Linked DNA regions of Macaca mulatta. The main gene of each other region encodes a partner of the protein of the gene in region 5 in a complex. Links are inferred from orthologs where the notes say so. Each region holds a gene or a part of one and is shown on either strand. Other genes may lie near its edges. The genes, in order: GEMIN5, TXNL4A, PRPF3, PPIL2, SNRPD3, SNRPD2 and SNW1.

The links.
Region 1: SNRPD3 (region 5) and GEMIN5 share a complex: the UniProt entries of both Homo sapiens proteins name them as parts of the SMN-Sm complex. The link is inferred for Macaca mulatta from reciprocal best matches to the Homo sapiens genes SNRPD3 and GEMIN5.
Region 2: SNRPD3 (region 5) and TXNL4A share a complex: the UniProt entries of both Homo sapiens proteins name them as parts of the U4/U6-U5 tri-snRNP complex. The link is inferred for Macaca mulatta from reciprocal best matches to the Homo sapiens genes SNRPD3 and TXNL4A.
Region 3: SNRPD3 (region 5) and PRPF3 share a complex: the UniProt entries of both Homo sapiens proteins name them as parts of the U4/U6-U5 tri-snRNP complex. The link is inferred for Macaca mulatta from reciprocal best matches to the Homo sapiens genes SNRPD3 and PRPF3.
Region 4: SNRPD3 (region 5) and PPIL2 share a complex: the UniProt entries of both Homo sapiens proteins name them as parts of the minor spliceosome. The link is inferred for Macaca mulatta from reciprocal best matches to the Homo sapiens genes SNRPD3 and PPIL2.
Region 6: SNRPD3 (region 5) and SNRPD2 share a complex: the UniProt entries of both Homo sapiens proteins name them as parts of the SMN-Sm complex. The link is inferred for Macaca mulatta from reciprocal best matches to the Homo sapiens genes SNRPD3 and SNRPD2.
Region 7: SNRPD3 (region 5) and SNW1 share a complex: the UniProt entries of both Homo sapiens proteins name them as parts of the minor spliceosome. The link is inferred for Macaca mulatta from reciprocal best matches to the Homo sapiens genes SNRPD3 and SNW1.

The regions. Positions count from the first base shown.
Region 1 is NC_133411.1:163,768,470-163,771,969, forward strand, and holds part of GEMIN5 (gem-associated protein 5), read right to left. Parts: intron 3,324-3,500; coding exon 3,186-3,323; intron 2,124-3,185; coding exon 1,976-2,123; intron 35-1,975; coding exon 1-34. UniProt on the Homo sapiens protein: The SMN complex catalyzes the assembly of small nuclear ribonucleoproteins (snRNPs), the building blocks of the spliceosome, and thereby plays an important role in the splicing of cellular pre-mRNAs.
Region 2 is NC_133423.1:1,024,140-1,028,093, reverse strand, and holds the start of TXNL4A (thioredoxin-like protein 4A), read right to left. Parts: upstream 2,801-3,954; 5' UTR 2,747-2,800; coding exon 2,594-2,746; intron 1,098-2,593; exon of another isoform or gene 985-1,097; coding exon of another isoform or gene 949-984; intron 1-948. UniProt on the Homo sapiens protein: Plays a role in pre-mRNA splicing as component of the U5 snRNP and U4/U6-U5 tri-snRNP complexes that are involved in spliceosome assembly, and as component of the precatalytic spliceosome (spliceosome B complex).
Region 3 is NC_133406.1:116,802,743-116,806,242, forward strand, and holds part of PRPF3 (U4/U6 small nuclear ribonucleoprotein Prp3), read right to left. Parts: intron 2,072-3,500; coding exon 1,988-2,071; intron 1,773-1,987; coding exon 1,552-1,772; intron 1-1,551. UniProt on the Homo sapiens protein: Plays a role in pre-mRNA splicing as component of the U4/U6-U5 tri-snRNP complex that is involved in spliceosome assembly, and as component of the precatalytic spliceosome (spliceosome B complex).
Region 4 is NC_133415.1:31,327,311-31,331,281, reverse strand, and holds the start of PPIL2 (RING-type E3 ubiquitin-protein ligase PPIL2), read left to right. Parts: upstream 1-1,171; 5' UTR 1,172-1,262; coding exon 1,263-1,294; exon of another isoform or gene 1,295-1,337; intron 1,338-3,971. UniProt on the Homo sapiens protein: Has a ubiquitin-protein ligase activity acting as an E3 ubiquitin protein ligase or as an ubiquitin-ubiquitin ligase promoting elongation of ubiquitin chains on substrates.
Region 5 is NC_133415.1:28,770,555-28,774,712, forward strand, and holds the start of SNRPD3 (small nuclear ribonucleoprotein Sm D3), read right to left. Parts: upstream 2,801-4,158; 5' UTR 2,783-2,800; coding exon 2,657-2,782; intron 1-2,656. UniProt on the Homo sapiens protein: Plays a role in pre-mRNA splicing as a core component of the spliceosomal U1, U2, U4 and U5 small nuclear ribonucleoproteins (snRNPs), the building blocks of the spliceosome.
Region 6 is NC_133424.1:58,224,554-58,226,607, forward strand, and holds the end of SNRPD2 (small nuclear ribonucleoprotein Sm D2), read right to left. Parts: intron 1,753-2,054; exon of another isoform or gene 1,618-1,752; coding exon 1,438-1,617; intron 802-1,437; coding exon of another isoform or gene 776-801; coding exon 601-775; 3' UTR 501-600; downstream 1-500. UniProt on the Homo sapiens protein: Plays a role in pre-mRNA splicing as a core component of the spliceosomal U1, U2, U4 and U5 small nuclear ribonucleoproteins (snRNPs), the building blocks of the spliceosome.
Region 7 is NC_133412.1:150,941,480-150,944,594, reverse strand, and holds part of SNW1 (SNW domain-containing protein 1), read left to right. Parts: coding exon 1-44; intron 45-2,344; coding exon 2,345-2,462; intron 2,463-3,115. UniProt on the Homo sapiens protein: Involved in pre-mRNA splicing as component of the spliceosome. As a component of the minor spliceosome, involved in the splicing of U12-type introns in pre-mRNAs.

The DNA.
Region 1 (3,500 bases), on a different chromosome or scaffold from region 5:
GCGCAGCCGGGCCTTGGCAATTGCAATAGCTTCCCTAAAGGCAAGAATAGACACTTTAGCCAATCTGAAAAGGCTCCTCTGTGTATGGCCCTAGGAGGGGCTGTAAGACAGGACAAATTGTCCCTTTTGCGTTCTTATTGTTTCAACTTCCTTTAAAAAACTGCACTTGCATTAGATAGACAAATTACAAACACATGCTTCATTCGTTTCTTCACTTAGATCAGCAGTTCTTAAATTTGTGGTCTGTGGATTCCTAGGGGGTCCTCAAGAACCTTTCAGAGGGTTCATGAGGTTATAACTATTTTTGTAACAATGCTAAGAGTCAGTTATGTGTTGTTTATTAAAAAAAAAAACTGTGTTGACATTTGCACTGATTGTGCAAAAGTAATGGTTGGTAAATTCTGGCATCTAAGAAAGAAGGCAGTGGCTCTTATAGTGGGAAAAAAGGGAGAATGCCCTTAATGAAGCAGTAAAAATTATGAATTTTACTAAATCCCTCAAGTCCAAAACACTTTAATATATTGTGTGTGACAAATGGGAAGAACATTTTGTGTTCTCTGCTGCATTCCAAAGTAGGATGGTTGTCTCCAGGAAACACCTGTATGAACAAATTACAAGCTAAACTGGCTGTTTTTTTCACAGAACCTGCTTTCTTCTAAAAAAAAAAAAAAAAAGACTAACCACTTCATTAAAAACAACCAACAGTATTTGTTACTAATGATAAAATGTGAGTTTTCTAGCAAAAATTAGAATTTTAGAAAACTTGTACGTACCACTTGTGTGCTTGACAGTTTCCCATAAGTTAGAATTTTCTGATGAGAGTGACGGTGATAGTAAGGAATGTGACATTTTTGGGTATTTTATAATAAGATATGTTAACATTTGGATCTGTACAACTCAGTAAACAAATATTTTTCAAATGACATACAACTGCTGAGTTGTAGCCAACATAAAGTTGTAGCTGGGGAAAAAAGTGTTTTATTAAAGTGATCTAAACAGAGCAATATTTTGAAAGTATTTTGGGACTTCTACTTCCAGCTATGATGGAATAACTGGGATCAGACCTACCTTCCTGCCATAAAACTAAAATACTGGACAAAATGTCTGAAACAACTGTTTTCAGACACTGGGTAACAGGCAGCACAGGACAGTAACCCCTAAGAGAACAGAAACAAACGATGGGAACCCTATCTGGGCACTGGCTTTCTGCCCAAAGCCATTTTCCTAAAGAAAACCCAAGCAAAACCTCAGCGGTCTCTGAGTTGAAAAGAGGAAACAATGGCAATCTGAGGGGCAGGATACTAGGAAGGAGGAAGTTGTCCAGAGAAAGACATCCATATTGAGTCTTTGGCTAAATTCAAAGCCACGTATGTAAAGGAAACTCCATAAGTCTAAACAAAGAATGACTAGGTAACTGTAAGCTGAACAATTACCAGAGCTTACTCAGGACCTGGAGACATCTGAGTTTTGACTTGTTGAATGCATAAGGCATTCAATAAAGATATCAGAATGTAGGAGGTCCAAACTAATTCTAGAATATGATAAACTTGCCCTAACAAAGTTTAAAAACAAGCCATGAAAAGATCAAGCTGATATACAACTTTACTACTTGCCAAAACAAAGTTCAACACTCTCTAAAGGAAGACAACAAAACCAAAGCAGGGTAGGACAAAAAGAAAATCTTGGTTAAGCATGGTGGCTCATGCCTGTAATCCCAGCATTTTGGGAGGCTGAGGCAGGAGGATCGCTTGAGCCCAGGAGTTGGAAATCAGCTTAGACAACACAGCAAGTCTCCGTCTCTACAAAAAACTAAAAAAACAGCTGGAGGTGGTGGCACACACCTCCTGAGTAGTCCCAGTTAGGGGGCTGAGGCAGGAGGACTGTTTCTTCTCTTTATGTTACTTTAACAATAGAGAAGTTTAGATTACTTTCACATTATGTCCAAGTATTATCCCAACTCTATGACTACACATACCTGTAAAAATGGTTTGACTTGAGCAGCTCCACAGCTTCATACACTTTGTGGATGGAAAGTAGGTGAGAAGCAGCCTTGACATACTGATCCTGAAAACACAGCTGTTTGGCAAAAGCTTCCACAGCCCATAGCCACACATGGTAGCCAGCTGAAAAAATAAAAGATGGTGGTTAAAAAACAGTTGAAGAGAAGTTAAAAACAAAACCCAGTATATTTGGGTTGAAAAGCTTTGTTTTCAGTCGATGCATTCAGCAGAACATTTAGATACCAATTCAGCCACCACTACGGATGATCTGCTTCATCTACACATTCTGAAACATCAATTGTTTGATTATGTAACACAAACAAAACAGTACAAAGTTGAAAAGATACAGAAAGGAATGTGTGAGCACAGTTAGATAAATTCCTATAATTAGAATTGACGAACCAAAGGTAACATGCTTACGTGCTTTTTTTTTTTTTTTCTCTTTCCTTTTATTGTTTTTTGAGACAGGGTCTTGCTCTGTGGCTCAGGCTGGAGCTAAGTAGCACAATCATGGCTCACTGCAGCCTCAACCTCCCTGGGCTCAGGTGATCCTCCCACCACAGCCTCCTGAGTAGCTGGGACTACAGGTACATGCCACCATGCCCAGATAATTTTTTTATTTTTTGTAGAGATGGGGTTTTGCCATGTTGCCTAGGCTGGTCTCAAACTCCTGGGCTCCAGCGGCCTGCCCACCTCGGCCTCCCGAAATGCTGGTATTATAGGCATGAATCACCACACCCACCTTTTTTCTTTCTTTTTTAAAGAGACAAAGGTCTCATGATGTTGCCCAGGCTACAGTACAGTGGCTATTCACAGGCACAATTAACAGTGCCCTATAGGTCTGAATGCCTGGCCTTAAGCAATCCTCCTGCCTCAGCCTCCAGAGCAGCTGGGGACTACAGACTTGTGCCATTGTATCTTTAAAATTTACTAGACATGGCCAAATTGTCCTTCAAGAAGTTCTCACCAATTATGCTTTTGCCATTAAAGTGTCAGTGACCTGCTCTTTTTCACAGGGGTTGGGTTGGATTTACGAGTTTGTCTACTGCTGCAAACAGGATTAGCATTGTATCTATTTGTAAGTGATTTCAAGCTTAAGACTGGTACTGCCAAGAGCCATCTTTAGTGGACGTATCCCAGAGATGATAGAGTTTTTACTGAAAAGAACAAGCACGAAAACCATACCCGCTGGTGCCATAGCCACAAGGTTGTCTGTCAGCTCCCCTCTTTCCGCTGCGGTTTGGAGAACACCTTTGAGATCTCCTTTCCAAAGCATAAGCTGGTGAAATAACTCAGGGTGGCCATTTTCTAAGTGACCTTTTCCTGTTTGAAAGAGAGATAATGTTTGGAAGGTGTTTCGGAAACATCTATTACTGACTTGTAGAAAAAGATAAAGCAAGATAGAAGAGAAAGTGGGCTCCTAAAATATGCAGTCATTCTCTGATAGGTGTCACCTACCAGAGTGATTACAAAAGGATGTGAAGCCCACTCGGTCACTGT
Region 2 (3,954 bases), on a different chromosome or scaffold from region 5:
TGTTTCCAGACTAACTTTCTTCCTGAAGTTCACAGCTCAGCTCTAACCCAGCATGAGGCCAGTGGGCCTTGTGGAAGCAGCAGATCAATACAACACATCCAGGAAAAAATCGTATCAAGTCCAGCCGAACATCTGCAACTGTTACTCACTTTAAAACAGCTGGGACATCGACAGGACTCTTAACAAGATAAGGAAGATTCTCCATTATCTGCCATTTCTGCACAGGGAAATTTTTAAATAGTTATATTGTTCTTTATACTAAAATCTTACATTTCAAAAATTTCTGTTGAGTTTCCCCAAAAGAGCTTCCAGAATTAGAAAGTCATATTTTGCCCATATACTAAGAAGAAAATAAAACACGAATAGTCTTTTAATGCATTTCAGGTTTGCACTTATTTTTGGAGACAGGGTCTCACTCCTGTTGCCCAGGCTGGAGTTCAGTGGTATAATCATGGCTCACTGCAGCCTTGACTTCCCGGGCTCAGGTGATTCTCCCACCTCAGCCTCCCAAGTAGCTGGGACTACAGGCATGTGCCACCACGTCTGGCATTTGTACTTTTAGTAGAGAACGGGTTTCACCATATTGTCCAGGCTGGTCTCGAATTCCTGGGCTCAAGTGATCTGCCTACACTAGCCTCCCAACCAAAGTGCTGGGATTACAGATATGAACCACCGTGCCTGGCCTAGGTTTGCGCTTTTAATAATTATACTATAATATTTGCATTAAAAGTTTATTAATAAAGCAATCCAAATTTTTGGACAGAAACAAAAATCAAACTATTTTAAAAGACCAAAAAAAAAAAAAAAATACCCCAAAGTGAGCCCATTTCAACTGTCCTTAAGTGTGTGTCCACTAGTGATACAGTGATTCATTCTGTAATAACAAAGAAATCGGACATAAAGGAATTGGAAAAAAAGAGCAAATCTGGCAAAGACCCTAACACTTACATTAACACATAAAATCTGTTTCCTAGCTAAGAGCATCTTGCTGAGCTCTGCCTGGATGTGATGAGACAAAGGCCCTCACATCGCCAGCCATCCTAGCCTCGAGCTGCCGGCAGCAGGATCTGAACACCAGCTGATGTTTATGCCACCACCTGCAAGGTAGAACAGTGAAAGATTCTAGAACTCGTAACTCAAAGTCAGTGATTTACAAGCAGTGATTTACTTATTGGGAAACTGCTCTTCGTCAATTCTTCGCTGGATTTCCAGTATCTGCCCTTGTCCACTACAAGTCAAGCAATGAAAAGCTGATGTGCTGGCACTGCCTCACTCATCATCTCTAATCCCTGGCTGGCAGAAGCCCCAGTGTGAGAGAACTGCTGCTCTCCTGATTCCCTAGGCAGCTCCTCAAGTCCTCAGTGTCCTGCTGTCCAAGAGGAAGAGGCTGGGAGATGGCTGGTAATAAAGCACTCCGCCTCTGTCCCTGACCCCCATGGAAGGGTTTCTGAGTGTGTGGTTCAAGGTCAGGTCACATCAGAATTCCCTGAGGGGCTTCTTTAAAAAGCCATTGCTGGACTTCACCCCACACCCATAGACTCAGAATCACAGATGCATTTTAGTAAGCACTCCAAGAGATTCTTGTAATAACTAAAATATAACAACAGTTCCTAACATCACACCTCTCCTACTAAATAAGAAATAGCAAGAATTAATAAATGGCAGGCCAGACAGTCTTTCCTTTCCTCAATATAAAATGTCTTTATATCTGTTACTCTTTACTCAAAGGAGTTATTTTAACCCAGCCTACTTTAGCATCTGTGAAAGAAAAGATAGCTTCAATGTTACTTTTACTCTTCATCAAAATGAATAACCGCTCAAATTACTTACGGAAAATTAATATGGCAAATATTTTATTAACACCCTAGTATTTGTGCCCTTTGCCCTATTGCTACAGCTGCAAAACCTAAATAAACGCCATCCTAAAATTGCTGTGAGGAACCACAGAAAAAGAATGAAACCTGGTTATAGTGTCCCACAACTTTTATTGTCAGCAAGTAAGTGCCAAGGCCACTCAATGTACTAATATTAGAAATTCAGAAAACTAGTTCCAACAAAGCATAGTTCTATTTTCTCCCGATGTTTTCTGCATCTTAATCACTCTAAGCTATAAATCACATGACTTACAAAAAGCGCGGTGGAAGAAAACACCAACAGAAAAACAGGATTTCTTATGCTATTAACATGAAAGTTCTGCTTTACACATACAACAAACAAACAGGGCACCAGAAAAGGGCATCCTTTTAAATTAAGGATCTGCGCTCTCAAAACCTGCAAGTGTTACTTTGTTCACTGCACTGTAAGATTGGGAAAAACGCCTTACCAACAGAAATAATGAATTCCTTCGAGGGGAGGGGGATCATAAACCCTTTAAAACGTGAACAACTACAGGAGCTCCCTGCAGAAAAAGGCGCGAAACGCCGGCACAGTCCCCGAGAGCGCTCGCCCGCAGCGCGGGAAGGAATCGCCCGGACAACCGCGCCGCGGCCCCTCCTCGGGGAACGGCTCGCGCCCCCAGGCGAGGCCGGCGGGGCAGAGGCGCGGGGCCGCTGCGGAAGCACAGCCAGCAGGGCGGGAGGGCCCGGCGCGCTACCTTCTCGGCGATGCTGTATAGGACCTCGTCCATCTTCATGCAGGTGGGGTCCCAGTCGTGGCCGAAGCGGATGACGACCACGCGGTCCTCCTCGGAGAGAATGGCCTGGTCCACCTGCCAGCCGTTGTGCAGGTGCGGGAGCATGTACGACATGGCGACCCGCGCGCTCGCCGCCGCCCGAGGCCGGGCGCCAGGGAGGGCCCAGCGAGGTGGTGGGCTCAGCCGGCCCCTCACTCCGCGGCCCCCGCCGCCCCCGGGCCCACAGCCGAAACCCGGTCCCACCCACACCCGCAAGCTCCGCTGGCACTGCCGCCGGGCGGAACCTCTGGGCGCGCACGCACCGACGCCGTGCGTGCTGACGTCATGCGCACGGGCTGGCGCCGTGCGTGCTGACGTCACGCGCGTACAGACGCCGCGCTAGCTTGTCGTTGGCCGGCGGGAGCGGCGGCGACCTGGCCACGGTGGAGCGCGGTTGGTGCCCTCCTAGCCGGCGTCGGAGTGGGGGTTCCTCCCCAGCGTCCAGGCGGCCTGGTGGTCCTGAGAAGCCCCGGGCTCGCCGTGCCCTGCCCCGACGCACCCGCCCCGAGGCCGCCCGCCGCCGCCCGGGCTGTCCTCCAGCCACGGATGGGGACGTCTTCAGAAAGGCCCGGCATGCCCGGCACTGCGGCTCGTTTTTTTCCTTTCTGGTGTCTGTTTCGGGTCATCGTTTGTGCTGTGTGTTAGCGAGACGGTTCGTGTGTGTCATTTGTGAAACTTGACCATAAAAATGTGTCGTTGTTGCCATACCCAGCCACGGCAGAGCCGAGCAGCGGGGTGGGGGGAAGCACTGGGCAGGCCGTCCTTGAGGAATGTCACCGTCAGGCCGGCTGCTGAGCTGCCTGTTGTAACCCGAAACCAGAGTTTTTGTCTTTTTATAAAGAAAAAAAATTTTTTTTGAGACGTTGTCTCGTTCTGTCGCGCAGGCTGGAGTGCAGTGGCGTGATCTCGGCCCACTGCAGCCCCCGCCTCCCGGGTTCAAGCGCTTCTCCTGCCTCAGCCTCCCCGTAAGCTGGGACTACAGGCGCCAGCCCGGCTAGTTTTTTTGTACTTAGTAGAGACGGGGTTTAACCATGTTGGCCAGGCTGGTTTCGAACCCCTGACCTCAAGTGATCCGCCCGCTTCGGCCTCCCAAAGCGCTGAAATTACTGGAGGAAGCCACCGCGCCCGACCTGAAGCCAGTTTTATTGCATAGCTTCAGCATAACTTGCACCTCCAGGACTGATCTGGCTCCCCCGGCTTCGCTCCCCAGACCCTTACTGGTGCCTATGAACTTTCTCCAAGAGAAATAATATTTCTCTTTTTAAAATAAAACCTCTAATCTC
Region 3 (3,500 bases), on a different chromosome or scaffold from region 5:
CGAGATCACGCCACTGCACTCCAGCCTGGGCAACAGAGTGAGACTCCCTCTCAAAAAAAAAAAAAAGACGGGCCGGGTGCGGTGGCTCAAGCCTGTAATCCCAGCACTTTGGGAGGCCGAGACGGGTGGATCACGAGGTCAGGAGATCGAGACCATCCTGGTGAACACAGTGAAACCCCGTCTCTACTAAAACTACAAAAAACTAGCCGGGCGAGGTGGCGGGCGCCTGTAGTCCCAGCTACTCGGGAGGCTGAGGCAGGAGAATGGTGTGAACCCAGGAGGCGGAGCTTGCAGTGAGCTGAGATCAGGCCACTGCACTCCAGCCTGGGCGACAGAGCGAGACTCCGTCTCAAAAAAAAAAAAAAAGATGATAAAATAATTCTAGGGAACAATCTCATCAGTGAGTAATACCATCTTTCTTTTGAGACATGGTCTCACTCTGTTGCCCAGGCTAAAGTACAGTGCCATAATCACAGCTCATTGCAACCTCAACCTCCCAGGCTCAAAGAAATTCTCCCACCTCAGTCTCCTAAGTAGCTAGAATTACAGGCATGCTCTACCATGCCTGGCTAATTGTTGTATTTTTTAGAGAGATGGGGTTTTGCCATGTTGCCTAGGCTGGTCTTGAACTCCTGAGCTCAAGCAATCTGCCAGTCTCGGCCTCCCAAAGTGCTGGGATTACAAGTGTGAGTCACCACGACCTGCCAATAACATCTTGATTAAAAATATCAAAGTAGATATTTCAGCATACAAGACCACCGAAAGAAATGAGTTTATAAATTATATGAATTTACAATCCTATCTTTCTTTATCCCTGAATTCTTACGTCAGTCATGGGATGCCAGACCAACTGTAGATGCTAAAAAAAAAAAAAAAGTGTAACATCTTTGACCAGTTGCAGAGGAACCTCAGATCTGATCTCACATAATGTGCTTTAATGGATAAATCTGAGTTTGAAACCAGGAAGGAAACCTGGCTCTATTCAGAGCTCCAATATCAGATGAATAACCTTAATCTCAGTTATATCAATCATAAGAAGATAATAAACCCTGCAACAACAGGGAAGCCAAGAGAAAAAATTCAACTGGTTAATCAATCACACATAAGAAATATGGAACTGTGAGAAATGATCTAGGTTCTGTGGAAAAAGAGGATCAGTAATTTTTTTTGTTGTTGTTGTTTTTGAGCCAGAGTCTCCCTCTGTCACCCAGGCTGGAGTGCAGTGGCACGATCTCAGCTCACTGCAAACTCTGCCTCCTGGATTCAAGTGATTCTCCTGCCTCAGCCTCCCGAGTAGCTGGGATAACAGGCATGCACCACCACATCCAGCTAATTTTTGTATTTTTAGTGGAGACGGGGTTTCATCATATTGGTCAGGCTAGTCTCAAACTCCTGACTCCTGACCTCAGGTGATCCACCTACCTCGGCCTCCCAAAGTGCTAGGATTATAGGCCTGAGGCACTGCGCCCAGCCAGATCAGTAACATTCAAAGGTATTTATTGCTTCTCAAACTTCAGAAATGAAAAGGTATTCCATGAAATAGACACTCACGGGGGAGCAATGCCCATGGCATGGAGATTAGCCAGGCCCACCATGTTGGCATTGCCGATGAGTCCTGGCTTCAGTGCCAGCTGGGCTTGGATTCGAGCTTGTAGTTCAGCTGCTTTCCTTGCCTTCTCAATGGCATCATTCATGAAAGTGGCAGCCTGGGAGGGCTGAATAGTGTTGCCAATTGGAAGTCGCTCTGGTTGGGAAGAAGAAGGAGTCTTTGGCTGTGAGATAGAGTAAAAGAAATCAGAGGCATTAAGACAGGCAGACAAATACACGTATGCATACACACAGATACACACATACACATCATGGTAGACTGTAGTAGATGATTATGAAGTAAAACATGCAGTCACCTCTTCTGGTCTGTCATTTTGAGTGGATGGCAAGAAATTCTGTGCCAAAGACTATTGTCTTCAGAGTAATCTAGACACAATACCTGAGGTGTAGGGGGGCTAATGAAGCTCAACTGTTTTTTCCTCTCCTCAATTTGTCGTGTTGCTGCCTCCATCATCTGTTTGATCTGCTCTCCAGGAAAAAAATTGAAAAACTGTTAATTTCTCCTCTTTACTACTCCCATTCAGGTTTTTAAACCCACAAGGCTCTCAGGTCTAGACACTTAAAATTTTTTGAATATACCACATACTGTCTACCATAGTGCAAAAAATTTAGTCAAGATTAAAGTGTGCACTGGAATTTTTCAACCCAAGTTCCTAAGGCAAGATTGGCATATTAGGTAGCAATACAATGTGATGACTGAGACTCTGGAGTCAGAGAAACCTGAGTTTGAATCTTTTTTTTTTTTTTTGAGACGGAGTCTCGCTGTGTCGCCCAGGCTGGAGTGCAGTGGTGCGATCTCGGCTTACTGCAAGCTCCGCCTCCCAGGTTTACGCCATTCTCCTGCCTCAGCCTCCAAGTAGCTGGGACTACAGGCACCCGCCACCACGCCCGGCTAGTTTTTTGTATTTTTAGTAGAGACAGGGTTTCACCATGTTAGCCAGGATGGTCTCGATCTCCTGACCTCGTGATCCACCCACCTCGGCCTCCCAAAGTGCTGGGATTACAGGCTTGAGCCACCGCGCCCGGCCCGAGTTTGAATCTTAACTCTGACACTTAATGCCTTTGTTATCTTGGATAAGGAACTTAGTCTCTAAACCTCCTAAGCGTCTAAAAGGGAGGATAAAAACAGTACCTACCTTATAGGTCTATTGTAACCACTTAAATAATGCATGCAAACCTTACAGAACCTACACAAAATATTATGCTTAATTTTTTTTTTTTTTAATTTTTGAGACGGAGTCTCACTCTGTGGCCCAGGCTGGAGTGCAGTGGCGCAATCTTGGCTCACTGCAAGCTCTGCCTCCCGGGTTCACGCCATTCTCCTGCCTCAGCCTCCCAAGTAGATGGGACTACAGGCACCCACCACTACACTCGGCTAATTTTTTGTATTTTTAGTAGAGATGGGGTTTCACCCTGTTAGCCAGGATGGATTTTGTATTTTTAGTAGAGACAGGGTTTCACTCTGTTAGCCAGGATGGTCTCAATCTCCTTATCCGCCTGCCTTGGCCTCCCAAAGTATTGGGATGAAAGGCGTGAGCCACTGCTCCCAGCCTATACTTAATTTTTTTAAAAAAATCATGATATTAGTACTTGAACTACTAGTTTGAGAAACAAGAGACGATGGTGCAAAGACCTGCTCCCTAGTCTCTATAAACCCCTTCTGTCCTAAAGAAGTTCAGAATGATAAGCTTTGAGGGTATAGTCAAACAACTCCTCTTGCATTTTGCAAAAAGAGCTTCCAGATATTTTTAAAAATTTGTCTTTAACATTTTTTCTTGAATAGGTGATATTCAAAATTCAAAAATTACAGAAGGGTCAGGCATGGTGGCTCACGCCTGTAGCACTTTGAGAGGCTGAAGTGGGTGAATCACTTGAGGTCAGGAGCTGAAGAC
Region 4 (3,971 bases), about 2.6 Mb from region 5:
CTCACTGCCTCAACCTCCTGAGTAGCTGGAACTACAGGCACCCGCCACCACACCCGGCTAATTTTTGTATTTTTAGTAGAGACAGGGTTTTGCAATGTTGGCCAGGCTAGTCTTGAACTCCTGACCTCAAGTGATCCGCTTGCCTCAGCCTCTCCAAGTGCCGGGATTACAGGTGTGAGCCACCACGTCCGTCCAGACATGTTAAATTTGAGATCAGCGGCTACCCAAGTGGAGATCAGGAACCTGGAGTACTGGTGACTTAGTATTGGGAGTCATGGGATATAAATGGCGTTTAAAATTAGGAGCCTAGGCAAGATTACCCCGGGCCTGAGTGTAGTTGGGGGCCCAAGGTACTGTTCTGACCCAAGGCAAGAGTCTGGCAGAAGAGAAGGAAGGGATCAGGCAGGGTTTTGGACCTCTAGGCTTGATGGCCACCTGCTGCTGGGCCTCCAAGGGGCCTGGAGGCGGTGCGGACGGAATATGCAGAGAGAATGAGAAGTGAGCGAGTAGAACGAGGGTGGTACATGGCTTTGAAGGAGTCGGCCACGGAGGCGGGAAAGGATGGGGTGGAGGCTCATGAGACTTGAAGCTCTAGGAGGACATTGAAAAAGACCTGAGCGCTGGCCGGGCGCGGAGGCTCAGGCCTGTAATCCCAGCACTTTGGGAGGCCAAGGCGGGAGGACTGCTTGAGCTCAAGAGCTCCAGACCAGCCTGGGCAAAATAGTAAGAGCTTGTCTCTACAAAAAATTAACATATTAGCCGGGTGTGGTGGCGCGTGCCCGTAGCTACTCGGGAGGCTGAGGTGGGAGAATCGCTTGAGCCTGGGAGGTCGAGGCTGTAGTGAGCTGTGATTGCGCCACTGCACTCCAACCTGGGCGACAGAGCGAGATCCTGTCTCGAAAATAAAATAAGACCTGAGAACCCAGTATGGGAATGGCCCTGAGCCGTGGCTGAGGGGGGCAGGCGAGGCGGTCGGGAGAGACCCTTCGAGAAGATGGGGCTTCGAGGCTGAGGGAGCTCTGCCCCGAGAAGGCGCCAGCGAGACACAACACACCTAGCTAGGACCCCATACTGGGCAGGCGATCCTTCCGAGCATGCGCACCTGGCGCTAGCGAACCACAATTCCCAGCACGCCAAGCGCCTGTTTCCGGGGCGAGCCGCGGAACCCGGAAGTGGTCACGAAACTCGGCCGTGGCTCCATGGTCTGAGTGGTCAGCGGTTGCTTTTTCGTGCTAGGTAGTTGCCGCCGCCGCCGCGCCGCCATGGGGAAGCGACAGCACCAGAAGGACAAGATGTAAGTTGAGTCGCAGTCGGGAGTGGCGCTCCGCTCTGCCTCAGTAAACCGCCTGTCCCGCCCTGCTCGCCGCTCGCCTTCCCTCTCAGCTGGTCCCCAGAGCCCAGCCCAAAAGTCACTTCCTCCCGGAAGCTGCCACCGTCTCTCCAGTCAGGGTAATGACCCTCGGGCCGCCGCGCTCTCCCAGGGGGCCGCGGCTCCGAAGACGTCAGCTGCGGGCTCGAGCGCAGCCCGGTCTTTCTTTACTCTAGTTCTGCCCGGACCGTGCCCCGTCTGCTCGCGAGCTTTGCCCCTGTAGTCTCTCCCTCTTCCGTACTTCGCGTCTGGCTGTGTTCTGGTTCATGCCTATCAGCCTGCACACGTGCTGCAGAGCCTTCCTATTTAAAGCAAACCAGGCCGGGCGCGGTGGCTCACCTGTAATCCCAGCACTTTGGGAGGCTGAGGCGGGCGGATCACCTGAGGTCAGGAGTTCAAGACCAGCCTGGCCACCATGATGAAACCCCGTCTCTACCCAAAACACAAAAATTAGCGGGGCGTGGTGGCGGGCGCCTGTAATCCTAGCTACTCGGGAGGCTGAGGCAGGAGAATCGCTTGAACCCGGGAGGCGGAGATTGCCGTGAGCCGAGATCGTGTCACTGCACTCCAGCCTGGGCGACAGAGCCAGACTCTGTCTCAAAAATAATAAATAAAATAAAACAAAAAAATCCGCCTATGCCCCGTGCCCCGCGTTCCCCTCCTGCTGCCGCCGTGATTTCAGAACAAGTTAGAGACCCGTGGCTTCATGCTGTTTTCTGAGTCTCTTGAAACCACTCAAGTCAGAATTTCGATCCCAGAACTGCCCCTTGTCAGGTTGCCAGCGACTTCTTGTTGCTAACTCTAGTATTCAATCCTCAGTCCTCGTGTTTTTTTTGAGACGGAGTTTCGCTCTTGTTGCCCATGCTGGGGAGTGCAGTGGTGCGATCTCGGCTTTCCGCAACCCCCGCTTCCCAGGTTCAAGCGATTCTCCTGCTTCAGCCTCCCGAATAGCTGGGATTACAGGCATGTGCCCCCAGGCCCGGCTAATTTTGTATTTTTAGTAGAGAAGGGGGTTTCTCCATGTTGGTCAGGCTGGTCTCGAACTCCGATCTCAGGTGATCCGCCCGCCTTGGCCTCCCAAAGTACTGGGATTATAGGCGAGCCACCGCGCCAGGCAGCCTCAGTCCTCATTTTGTTGGGGTTCTCAACAGTATGTCACACTGTTAACCACTCCCTCCTTCTGAAGCCCTCCTTTGGTATCTGAGATTTCCTGTGCTCTTTGTTTTCCATCGACTTCAGCGGCCTCTCTTTTCCCAGCCTCCTTTCTGGACCCTCCTCCCTTTTCTCAGATCTCATAGGTTTCTTTTCCATAAACATTCTCTGTGAGTGATATAATTTCCCAGTCATCTATAAGCTGCTTTCCCCAGTCTTGTGTAGTTAGTGGCTTACTTGATATCTCCACTGGAGGACTGATAAACATCTCAATTTTTTTTTTTTTTTTTTTTTTTTTTTTTTTTTTGAGACGGGAGTCTCAGGCTGTTGCCCAGGCTGGAGTGCAGTGGCGCGATCTCGGCTCACTGCAAGCTCCGCCTCCTGGGTTCACGCCATTCTCCTGCCTCAGCCTCCTGAGTAGCTGGGACTACAGGCGCCCGCCACCGCGCCCGGCTAATTTTTTGTATTTTTAGTAGAGACGGGGTTTCACTGTGGTCTCGATCTCCTGACCTCGTGATCCGCCCGTCTCGGCCTCCCAAAGTGCTGGGATTACAGGCTTGAGCCACCGCGCCCGGCCTCAATTTTTTTTTTTTTTGAGATGGAGTCTTGCTGTGTTGCCCAGGCTGGAGTGCAATGGTGCGATCTTGGCTCACTGCAACCTCTACTTCCCAGATTCAAGCGATTCTCCCACCTCCGCCTCCCCAGTAGCTGAGATTACAGGCGCCTGCCACCATGCCCGGCTAATTTTTGTATTTTTAGTAGAGACAGGTTTCACCATGTTGGCCAGGCTGGTATCAAACTCCTGACCTCGGGTGATCCACACGCCTCTGCCTCCCAAAGTGCTGGGATTACAGGCATGAGCCACCGTGCCCTCAAATTTAATATGCCTTAAACAGAACTCTTGATTTTCAGCTCCTGAGCCTGCTCCTCCCTGTAAGCTAAAAATAAAATCCTAAATCCCCTTACTGGCTGAGCAGACACCCTTGTGCCTAAGAGAACTCCAGGAAAACCTTAAAACTGAGTTCCTGGCCATGATGCGATGGAGGTCAGCTGTACCTTGTTATATCTTCCTCCCTTTTGTGGCCCAGACACAACAACTGACTGGCATTAACGTTGAAATAGAGATCATAAAGGGGCCCGGCGCGGTGGCTCGCACCTGTAATCCCAGCACTTTGGGAGGCTGAGGTGGTGGATCATGAGGTCAGGAGATCGAGACCATCCTGGTTAACATGGTGAAACCCCGTCTCTACTAAAAATACAAAAAAAAAAAAAATTAGCCGAGCGTGGTGGCTAATTTTTAATAAAAATAAAGAAATAGAAATAAGATTGATGAAACAGACTCTTTGTGGCAATAAGATACCAAATTATAAATAGAACCTATAGTCATGCCAGACAACTTCCCTGGTTAAGTTACCCACCCCTACGCCTAAAGAATAAACTATATCCTTTT
Region 5 (4,158 bases):
AAAAAAAAAAAAAAAAAAAAAAGGCAAGCCGGGCATGGTGGCTCACATCTGTAGTCCCAGCACTTTGGGAGGCTGAGACAAGTGGACCACAAGGTCAGGAGTTCGAGACCAGCCTGGCCAATATGGTGAAACCCGTCTCTACTAAAAATACAAAAATTAGCTGACATGGTGGCAGGTGCCTGTAGTCTCAGCTACTTGGGAGGCTGAGGCAGGAGAATCGCTTGAACCTGGAAGGCGGAGGTTGCAGTGAGCCAAGATCGCGCCACTGCACTCCAGCCTGGGCGACAGAGCAAGGCTCCATCTCAAAAAAAAAAAAAAAAAACTTTATTAAAAAAAAAACTTTATGTTAAGAAAAGTCATTAGAGTGGGCCCTATTTCTACATGCCTGGTATCCTTATAAGAAGAGATCTAGACAGAAACACTACAGAGTGAAGACCAAGTGAAGACACAGGGAGAAGAGAGTCATCTATAAGTAAGGAGAGAGGCCTGGAACAGATCCTTCCTTCACATCCCTCAGAAGAAATCAGCCTTGCCAACACCTTGATCTCAGACTTCCAGCCTTCAGATCTAGGAGAAAACAAATTTGTGTTGTCTAAGCTGCCCAATCTGTGAAACTTTGTTATTGGCAGCACTAGCATACAAATACAAGCAGGGAGGCAGGTGGCTGCCCCCCCACCATTGGTCAGGCATGTGACATGCATCTACTCATTTCTTCTGCACTATGGTTCCTTCTGAAGCCAAGGAGCTATTTTTATCCCTGACTTAGAAGAGGGACCAGAGGACGAAGGAGGTCCAAAGCTCACCCCAAGTCACCCTAGGTGGCAGGCTGCAAGCTGATTCCAGGTCTGTCTGACTCCAAGTTCTGTGCACTTTGTGTCACGTGGACTGCATCTCTGAATGGCCACCGAGGTTATCTGGTTAGACACCTTCATGTTATGGATGGGATGACAAAGGCCCTGGAAACCCAGCAGGTTGTCCAAATACATATAGCTAGATGACAAACCCATTAAGATTCACTAACCCAAGTCCTGCATTCTCCTCACCAAATTAAAGTACCTTAAAGTGGATGAGCATGCCTTAAGCCAGAGGTCTGGATATATGAAAGAGAGATGATAAACCTATCTACTGTCAATAGATAAACTGATCTATTGACAATGATGCAATAAACCTGAGTCACCAGAGGTCTACTTCTCTGCATCCAGGGAACTGACCAAGCTTGTCAACCTCGCAGGAAGATGATAGACGCTCAAAGCTACAGAAAAATCACAAATAAATGAATGGCGCAAACCAATAGATGGTCAGGATACCTGACCGTGGTGTAAGACGCTTTACCTCTCTGACCTTCTCATCTGGAAAAAAGCAGTAAACACCATACGTTGAACACTTACAGTATGTGAGGCACCGAGCAGCTATTGCACACATATAGCTCATCTGATCTTTGTAAAAGTCCTGGGGGTGTGGATATTATCCCTGTGGCAGTCTTAAGGGTGTGCTGCTCAGATCTCCCTCCAAAAGAAAACAGGCTATGAGGAGTGAAGGCAGCCGACAATCTCCATCTTTGCAGTCCACCATGGCATTCAACTTGGGGAGAGAGACTGTCTCCCCAGGCTGCCAGCCAATGGAATGAACACACCAGGGGTGCCAGTCTGCCCATTTCTGCCCCATGTTAGATTCTTCTAATGAGCAATCACTGCCTTGCTGAGACTTCCTCAAAACTACACTGTAGTCTAAGGTTCTTCCTGCTCAATCCTCCTTCTTTCCCCTCTCGTTTCACCAGTCAGACCAGCATCACGGACTGAAAATTTCCCTGCCTACTACTGTTTCCTTGTTCCTTTATCCTTTATTGTCATTTCCCCCAATAAATACCTTGCATAATTCTGTCTTGGCATCTACATCAAAGAACCCAAAATAATAACACTCCCGTTTTACAGATGAGAAAACTGAGTGATTAATACATCTAAGGTCATATAATTAGGAATCAAACCCACATCTCTCTCTGACTCCCAAGTCCAAGTTCTTAACCAATGGTTTAAAGAACAAAGAAAGTGTGAAGATACAACTGAAAAACAATGCTATAAAAATTCAGATGACTATGCAAAAGGCAAAGCTGCGCCATGAGAAGGACACCGTATCAAGAAACTACTCCATTATTTACTATCAGAGTGATGAGTCCTTTAATCTCATTCTCCCTATTTTATGGATGACAAGACTACCACCAAACCTGCTTACCTCACAAGGTAGTTGCAATAATCAAATGAGACTCCTCCTCCAAGAGAAAAGGGAAACAAACACAGTATGTGAGAAGATTCTCCTAACTGCAAAGCAAGTGGAGGCAAATGGATAATGGCTCTGAACCTGAAGGATTCTACTGAAGGAACTTCTCCCAAACAGGTCCCCAAATTTGGGGATGGAAAAAACAAAAAAGGCGAAGTAAAATATTCCAAATCTCCAAATGGCTTTTCTGCCTCAAGACTATGTGTTTTGTTCATGCCCACATCCCCAGAGCCTATAACAGCACCTGACTGGTATGTGTTAGGCACTCAGGAAATCACTGCTGAATGAGAACAATTTACAGAAGACCCCCAACCCACACCTTTCTGTCCTTCAAGACACAGGGCCATTCCTCCCACACAGCCTCACATGCAAAGCAGAATACCTGGCAGTTCATGTTGTCCTCTGCTTCAATGAGCTTCCCCCGATATACCTCACCGGTGTTCGTCTCACATGTCACAATGTGGCCCTCGGCCTCGTGCAGCACTTTAATTGGCACACCAATAGACATCTTGGCAGGAAGAGAGCTCTACAGTGAAAGAGACAACAGTCAGTTCATCTTTCAGAGTCTGAGAAGGCATGCGGCACACGTCATGCCTCCTTCAAGGCCTGGCACTCCATAAAACTTAGCAAAAACGCCAAAGCTGCATTTTCTATCAAAGAAAAAGAAAAAAGAAAGCTCAGCTCCTGGCTTGGAGGAAACTATCTGGCAAATATGTGCAAGATGTCGGGTGAGGAGGAATGGTGGGGTGGACAGAAGTAAAAACAGGAATGAAAAGAGAGCATCTCCCATCGACCATGTGTCCCTGCTACCCTATGTCCCTTAATCTTCAGCTAAAGGACCATTAGCGAATACTGTGTGTGTAGGGGAGGGGGATTGGAATGTTAATCTGTTGCACTGTTATTTGTCAACCCTTAATTGTAGATTATTACATTTTGACAATCATAACACAGGCCTGAGCTGTCCAATACAGTAGCTCATGTCCACATGTAGCTATTTAAATTAAACTTAACTAAAACACAATAGAATTAAAATAAAAAACCCAGTCCCTCAATCCCAGTGGCCATATTCCAAGTGCTCAACAGCTACATGTAGCTGGTGGCTACCCTACGGAAGGAGCAGATACAGACCTAAGGACCATGCATATCTAGGAGAGGAGACTGTACTTTTAATGCAGCTCTTTAACCCTTCCCTTACTTTACCATCAAGGATATTGAGAAAATATCAAAGTGACAACGTGCTATATGCAGGAAATGCCCGTCATGGAGGAAAATAAGGGAAAGCACCTGACTTGACCTAATTAAAAGCATCAAGTAGTGAACTTTTTATTGACATGAGCGACGACTCAAAGTTGGAACCTAAGTGCACCTAAGACAGGAGAACATGAGGTTGAAAAGACAGGCTCCTTTGGTGAGGATCCCTGGCTTTCAGCCTTAGGAGCCTAGATTTTATGCTGAAGATAGTGGGGAACCACTGCAAAATTATAGGTAAAGAATGACACAATGAAAAGGTAGCAGCATTTATTTACAAAATGGATCTAACGTAAGGTTTAGAAGCAGAGAAACTTGTTAAAATTTCTGCAACAGTTAAAACTGCTGCAACAGTGTGGAAAGCATGACGGGACCACTGCCTGAAAGGGAGCTGGGGGCAGAGATGCAAAGAACTTTTTAAAAAATGACCGGCTGGGCGCGATGGCTCACGCCCGTAGTCCCAACACTTTTGAAGGACGAAGCCGGTGGATCCCTTGAGCCCAGGAGTTCGAGACCAGCCAGGGTAACATGGTGAAACCGTCTCTACTTTAAAAAAAAAAAAAAAAAAAAAAACCCTCATAGGATTTGACTTCAAGATTCAAAAAACTCATAGGAAATGACTTCAAGATTACTGCC
Region 6 (2,054 bases), on a different chromosome or scaffold from region 5:
TCCACCCGCCTTGGCCTCCCAAAGTGCTGGGATTACAGGCGTGAGCCACTGCGCCTGGCCAATCTTTGTATTTTTAGTAGAGACAGCATTTCACCATGTTGGCCAGGCTGGTCTTGAATTCCCGATGTCAGGTGATTTGCCCGCCTCAGCCTCCCAAACTACTGGGATTACAGGCGTGAGCCACCATGCCTGGCCCCAAAAGATATTTTGGTCAAGCGAGGCCAATTCATTTTAAGAGGCAGAGAAGAGAGCAACAGAGTGACAAGGCGAAGCTCAGAAAGATTAAAGCAGGAGAACTAAAATATTCTCCAGTGCCACAACTGGGTGCTCATTTCCATCCAACCTGTTTGCTTTGCGGAGGGGGAAAGTGAGGCCTCGATGGGGCAGAGCCAGGGCCTCTCCACTTGCTCACGGGTCCTGGTCCCAGCATTCAATTTGATATTAGCTGCCTCCCCCAAGCCCTCCTGAATCCACCCCACTCACAAGGCTCTGGGAACACATACCACTAGAAAAAAACCACAGAGCTTTATTATTCTCAACACCAATGGCAATGGTCTTCATAGGACGAGAGAGTGAGTTCTGTCGATGGATAGGCAGCCCCTACTTGCCGGCGATGAGCGGGTTCCGCAGGACCACGATGACCGAGTCCCCACGCAGGAACATCTTGGAGATGTAGCGGTCTTTGTTGACTGGCTTGGATTTCTTCTTGCCCTTGCCGCTCTTAGGGACCTCAGTCCACATCTCCTTCACGTTCTCCAGCACCATGTTGCAGTGCCTGGTGGGGAACAGGGAGGGGAGGCACTGGGTGTGAGGGGGGTGCCTCTGACAGCGCTGCCTGCTGCTCGCCCCCTCCAGCAGCATGGCTTGGGGAAGGATGCAGGTGCTAGGCTGGATGACCAAGCTGCCAAGGCCAATTCTGCCAGTCCTTAGGTTGAGGCTGAGGCAAAGGACTGCACCTCTCTGTGCCAGTTTGTTCATCTTTAAGAGGGAAGACAATCACAGTACCTTCCTCACAAGGTCGTTGAATATTATCTTTTTTTTTCTTTTTTTTTTTTGAGACAGAGTGTCGCTCTGTTGCCCAGGCTGGAGTGCAGTGGTGCGATTTCAGCTCGCCGCAACCTCTGCCTCCTGGGTTCAGGCAATTCTCGTGCCTCGGCCTCCTGAGTAGCTGTGAATACAGGTGTGCACCACCACGCCCGGTTTTTATATTTTTAATAGAGATGCCGTTTCACCATGTTAGCCAGGCTAGTCTCGAACTCCTGACCTCAGGTGATCCACCCGCCTTGGCCTCCCAAAGTGCTGGAATTACAGGCATGAGCCACCACCCTGGGCCATACACCCCAGGCGTCTGAGAAACCTGTCTTTGAGCTCTTCAGACTGGAGCTAGGGCAGCCTCTCTAGGCCTGCACAGAACACCTCCCAGGACCCAGCACTCACCTATCGAAGGCCTTCACACGGCCCAGGAGTTTCTTATTGTTGCGACAGTTGATGAGCACTTGGGTGTTGTTCTTGACTGACTGAGTGAGCACAGAGAGTGGACCCGTGTTAAATTCCTCCTCCTCTCGCTTCTGCAGCTCCTCTGGGGTCATCTCACTCTTGGGCTTGTTGAGGAGGCTCCTGCATGGATAAACATGGAACCCACAAGTGAGAGAGGCTGGAGCTGTGAGGATGGGTGGTCAGGGCCTCAGCCTCAATGTCTCCCCAGCCTTGTCCCATCACATCCGTCCTGTTTGGCCTTCTGAGTATCACCAGCTGGATGCCTAACAGACATTTTCTTTTTCTTTTCTTTTTTTTTTTTTTTTGAGACAGAGTCTTGCTCTGTTGCCAGGCTAGAGTGCAGAGGCACGATCTCAGCTCACTGCAACCTCTGCCTCCTGGGTTCAAGCGATTCTCCTGCCTCAGCCTCCTGAGTAGCTGGGACTACAGGCGCGCGCCACCTCCACGCCCAGCTAATTTTTGTATTTTTAGTAGACAGTGGGTTTCACCACGTTGGCCAGGATGGTCTTGATTTCCTGACCTCGTGATCCACCCGCCTCGACCTCCCGAAGTGCTGA
Region 7 (3,115 bases), on a different chromosome or scaffold from region 5:
AGACAGCATGACCGGAATCTTTCCAGGGCAGCTCCTGATAAGAGGTAGGTGTTATTTAAGATACGTACCAATCATGGAGGCTGGGCGCGGTGGCTCACCCCTGTAATCCCAGCACTTTGGGAGGCCAATGTGGGCAGGAGATCGAGACCATCCTGGCTAACATGGTGAAACCCCATGTCTACTAAAAGTACAAAAAATTAGCCGGGCGTGGTCATGGTGGGCGTCTAGTCCCAGCTGCTCGGGAGACTGAGGCAGAAGAATGGTGTGAACCTGGGAGGCGGAGCTTGCAGTGAGCTGAGATGGCGCCACTGCACTCCAGCCTGGGCAGAGTGAGACTCCGTCTCACACAAAAAAAGATAGGTACCAATCATGAAGAGTGGCCTTTTTGTACCTTTTAGAGCAGAGTTTTTAGTCCACTAAGATCAGTTTTGCTTCTCTCCCTTTCTTCTTCAGTTTGATAACTTAATACATTAGCACTTAATTTTCTTATACTTAACTTTGTCTTAGCTCTAGTTGACTGTCTTTGGAATTAATCTTTTCTTCCATCACTTAAGTCAGAATTGAGAATGATGGGAATATGGAAAACAGAATTGAGATCAGATTTTTGAAAAGGATGTAGTAGTAAATTTGGACTGTTATAGTCGGTTCTTTTCCTACCTTAAATGGTGAGACAAATGGATTATGTGCCTCTTTAGACAGGAAATAAGCTGTCATGCTTTTACTGAGATCATTTTATATGCATAGTACTTTATATGCATCTAGTGCAATTGAGAAGAGCAGTTTTGAAAGAAGTGAAAATCAGCTCATTCTTAACAGAAGTTTAACTTACAGTTCAGAAAGACAGAGCTATCCATAAAATAATTTGAGAAAATTTGCAAAGCACTTTTAGTAAATATAAATGTATGGAACAAACTAAATACATATACAAGGGCATAAAGTATGGATTGGGGAAGTTTATGGCTCACCAAAGGCTGAGGACTTAAAGTTCTGAAAAGTAGAGGAAATGCTGCAATACAAAGGTAGAATTCTGAGTGAGGGTTAAATGCAAATATAAAATATTTTCTTCCCAAAGGAACAGTTTTCTATGCTCTGATCATCCCATGAGCCTAATACATTTTTCAAGTCATATTTTAAACACAAAAAAGAGGCTGGGCACGGTGGCTCACACCTATAATCCCAGCACTTTGGCAAGCCAAGGCGGGCGAATCACTTGAGGTCAGGAGTTCATCCAGCCTGGCCAACATGGTGAAACCCCCATCTCTACTAAAAATACAAAAATTAGCTGGGTGTGGTGGCATGTGCCTGTAGTCCCAGCTACTCGAGAGGCTGAAGTGGGAGAATCATTTGAACCCTGGAGGCAGAGGATTCAGTGAGCCAAGATCGTGCCACTATACTCCAGCCTGGGTGAGAGCGAGACTGTATCTCAAAAATAAAAATAAATAGGCATTAAAAAGATTCCTGCTGGTGTTAATTGGCATATTTCATCTCCCTGGATAAATGACGTCATAGAGAAGCAGAGACTCTTACTCTTGAGTTGAGGGTAACGTACATGTAGAAGGAGGAGCAAAGTGTGAAAGTGTTTAATTAATGACAGTCTTGGTTAGTAATTCCTAAGTTGTAAAAGTTACAATGGCTCTGTGGATAAATTGGGCCCTCAAAACCAGTAAAGTGGCCATCAGAATTGACAACATAGAAAAGCTGTAAAATTGTAACTGGATGAAAATCAAATAGCCTGTAGAAATCATTTTGTGACCTGAGTTTTTAGTAAAATAAGTAATGACAGTTACCATGGTTTCATTGGGATATAGATTGCATGTATAATGAAACAGCCAGGAAACCAAATTAATTTGAATGTCAAAAATCATACTAACTATTTCAGTCATTGACATGTTTTCCTCAAAATTCTAGTGGGATAAAATTATTAAATGTAGTTAGATAAAAGAGCTGTTTCTAGCTTATTTAAAATGATTCCTGTGCTACATCTAAATTGTATCCACTTCCCCAACCCCCAAACCATCATATGATAGTAAATATAGACCATAGCAATTTTATATCTCAGTATGGTTGTAAGGTGATTGCTTATATTAAAGAATTCCATGTCAACGAATCTGTTAGATGTTCTTTTGAGCTAACAGGATGTCCTAATTGTAAAACTCTTCCCTCTAATCTGAAATGCTTTATAAGGGCTGCCAACTTGATTATGTATTATCAAGGAATATACGTTCTCAAGATGTGAATGTGACATATTCATGTCCTTTGCTTCTGAGATTGGTTGTATTTCTATTGAACATACTCAGTTTGTCTATAAAGAGTTTTCAGTTAGTGATGTCGTATTTCAAAATAGGTCGAAACTTCAGAGAAATGAAAATCGGGATATCAGTGAAGTCATTGCTCTCGGTGTTCCTAATCCTCGGACTTCCAATGAAGTTCAGTATGACCAAAGGCTCTTCAACCAATCCAAGGTACAAGTTTAGGAAAGCATATTGTTGTGTTGATGTGAATACCTATCCTCAGGGAAACGAAAATTACCATACTTCATATTTGGATGTAAATGCCAGCATGATGACAAAAAAATTGGAAGTTGTATGTTGAAACTTGAGACAAGAAAGATGAAACAGTTCTGATTTTAACTTCTTACAGTGGACTGAAATTTGAGACACTAGGAGAAGAAAGAAATTAGCTGATTAAAAACTTGGTGCTGTACTCGGGAGGCTGAGGCAGGAGAATGGCGTGAACCCGGGGGGCGGAGCTTGCAGTGAGCCGAGATTGAGCCACTGCACTCCAGCCTGGGCGACAGAGCGAGACTCTCTGTCTCAAAAAAAAAAAAAAAAAAAAAAAAAACAACTTGGTGCTGTGGTATGTCAATCTTTTGTTTTTAAAATAGAACCAGGGAGGACAGGCACGGTGGCTTTTGCCTATAATCCCAACACATTTGGAGGCCGGCAGATCACCTGAGGTCAGGAGTTTGAGACCAGCCTGGCCAATGTGGTGAAACCCCAGCTCTACTAAAAATACGAAAATTAGCCAGGTGTGGTGGTGCATGCCTGTAATCCTCACTACTTGGGAGGCTGAGGCACGAGAATTGCTTCAGCTTGTGGTGAGCCAAGATTGTGCC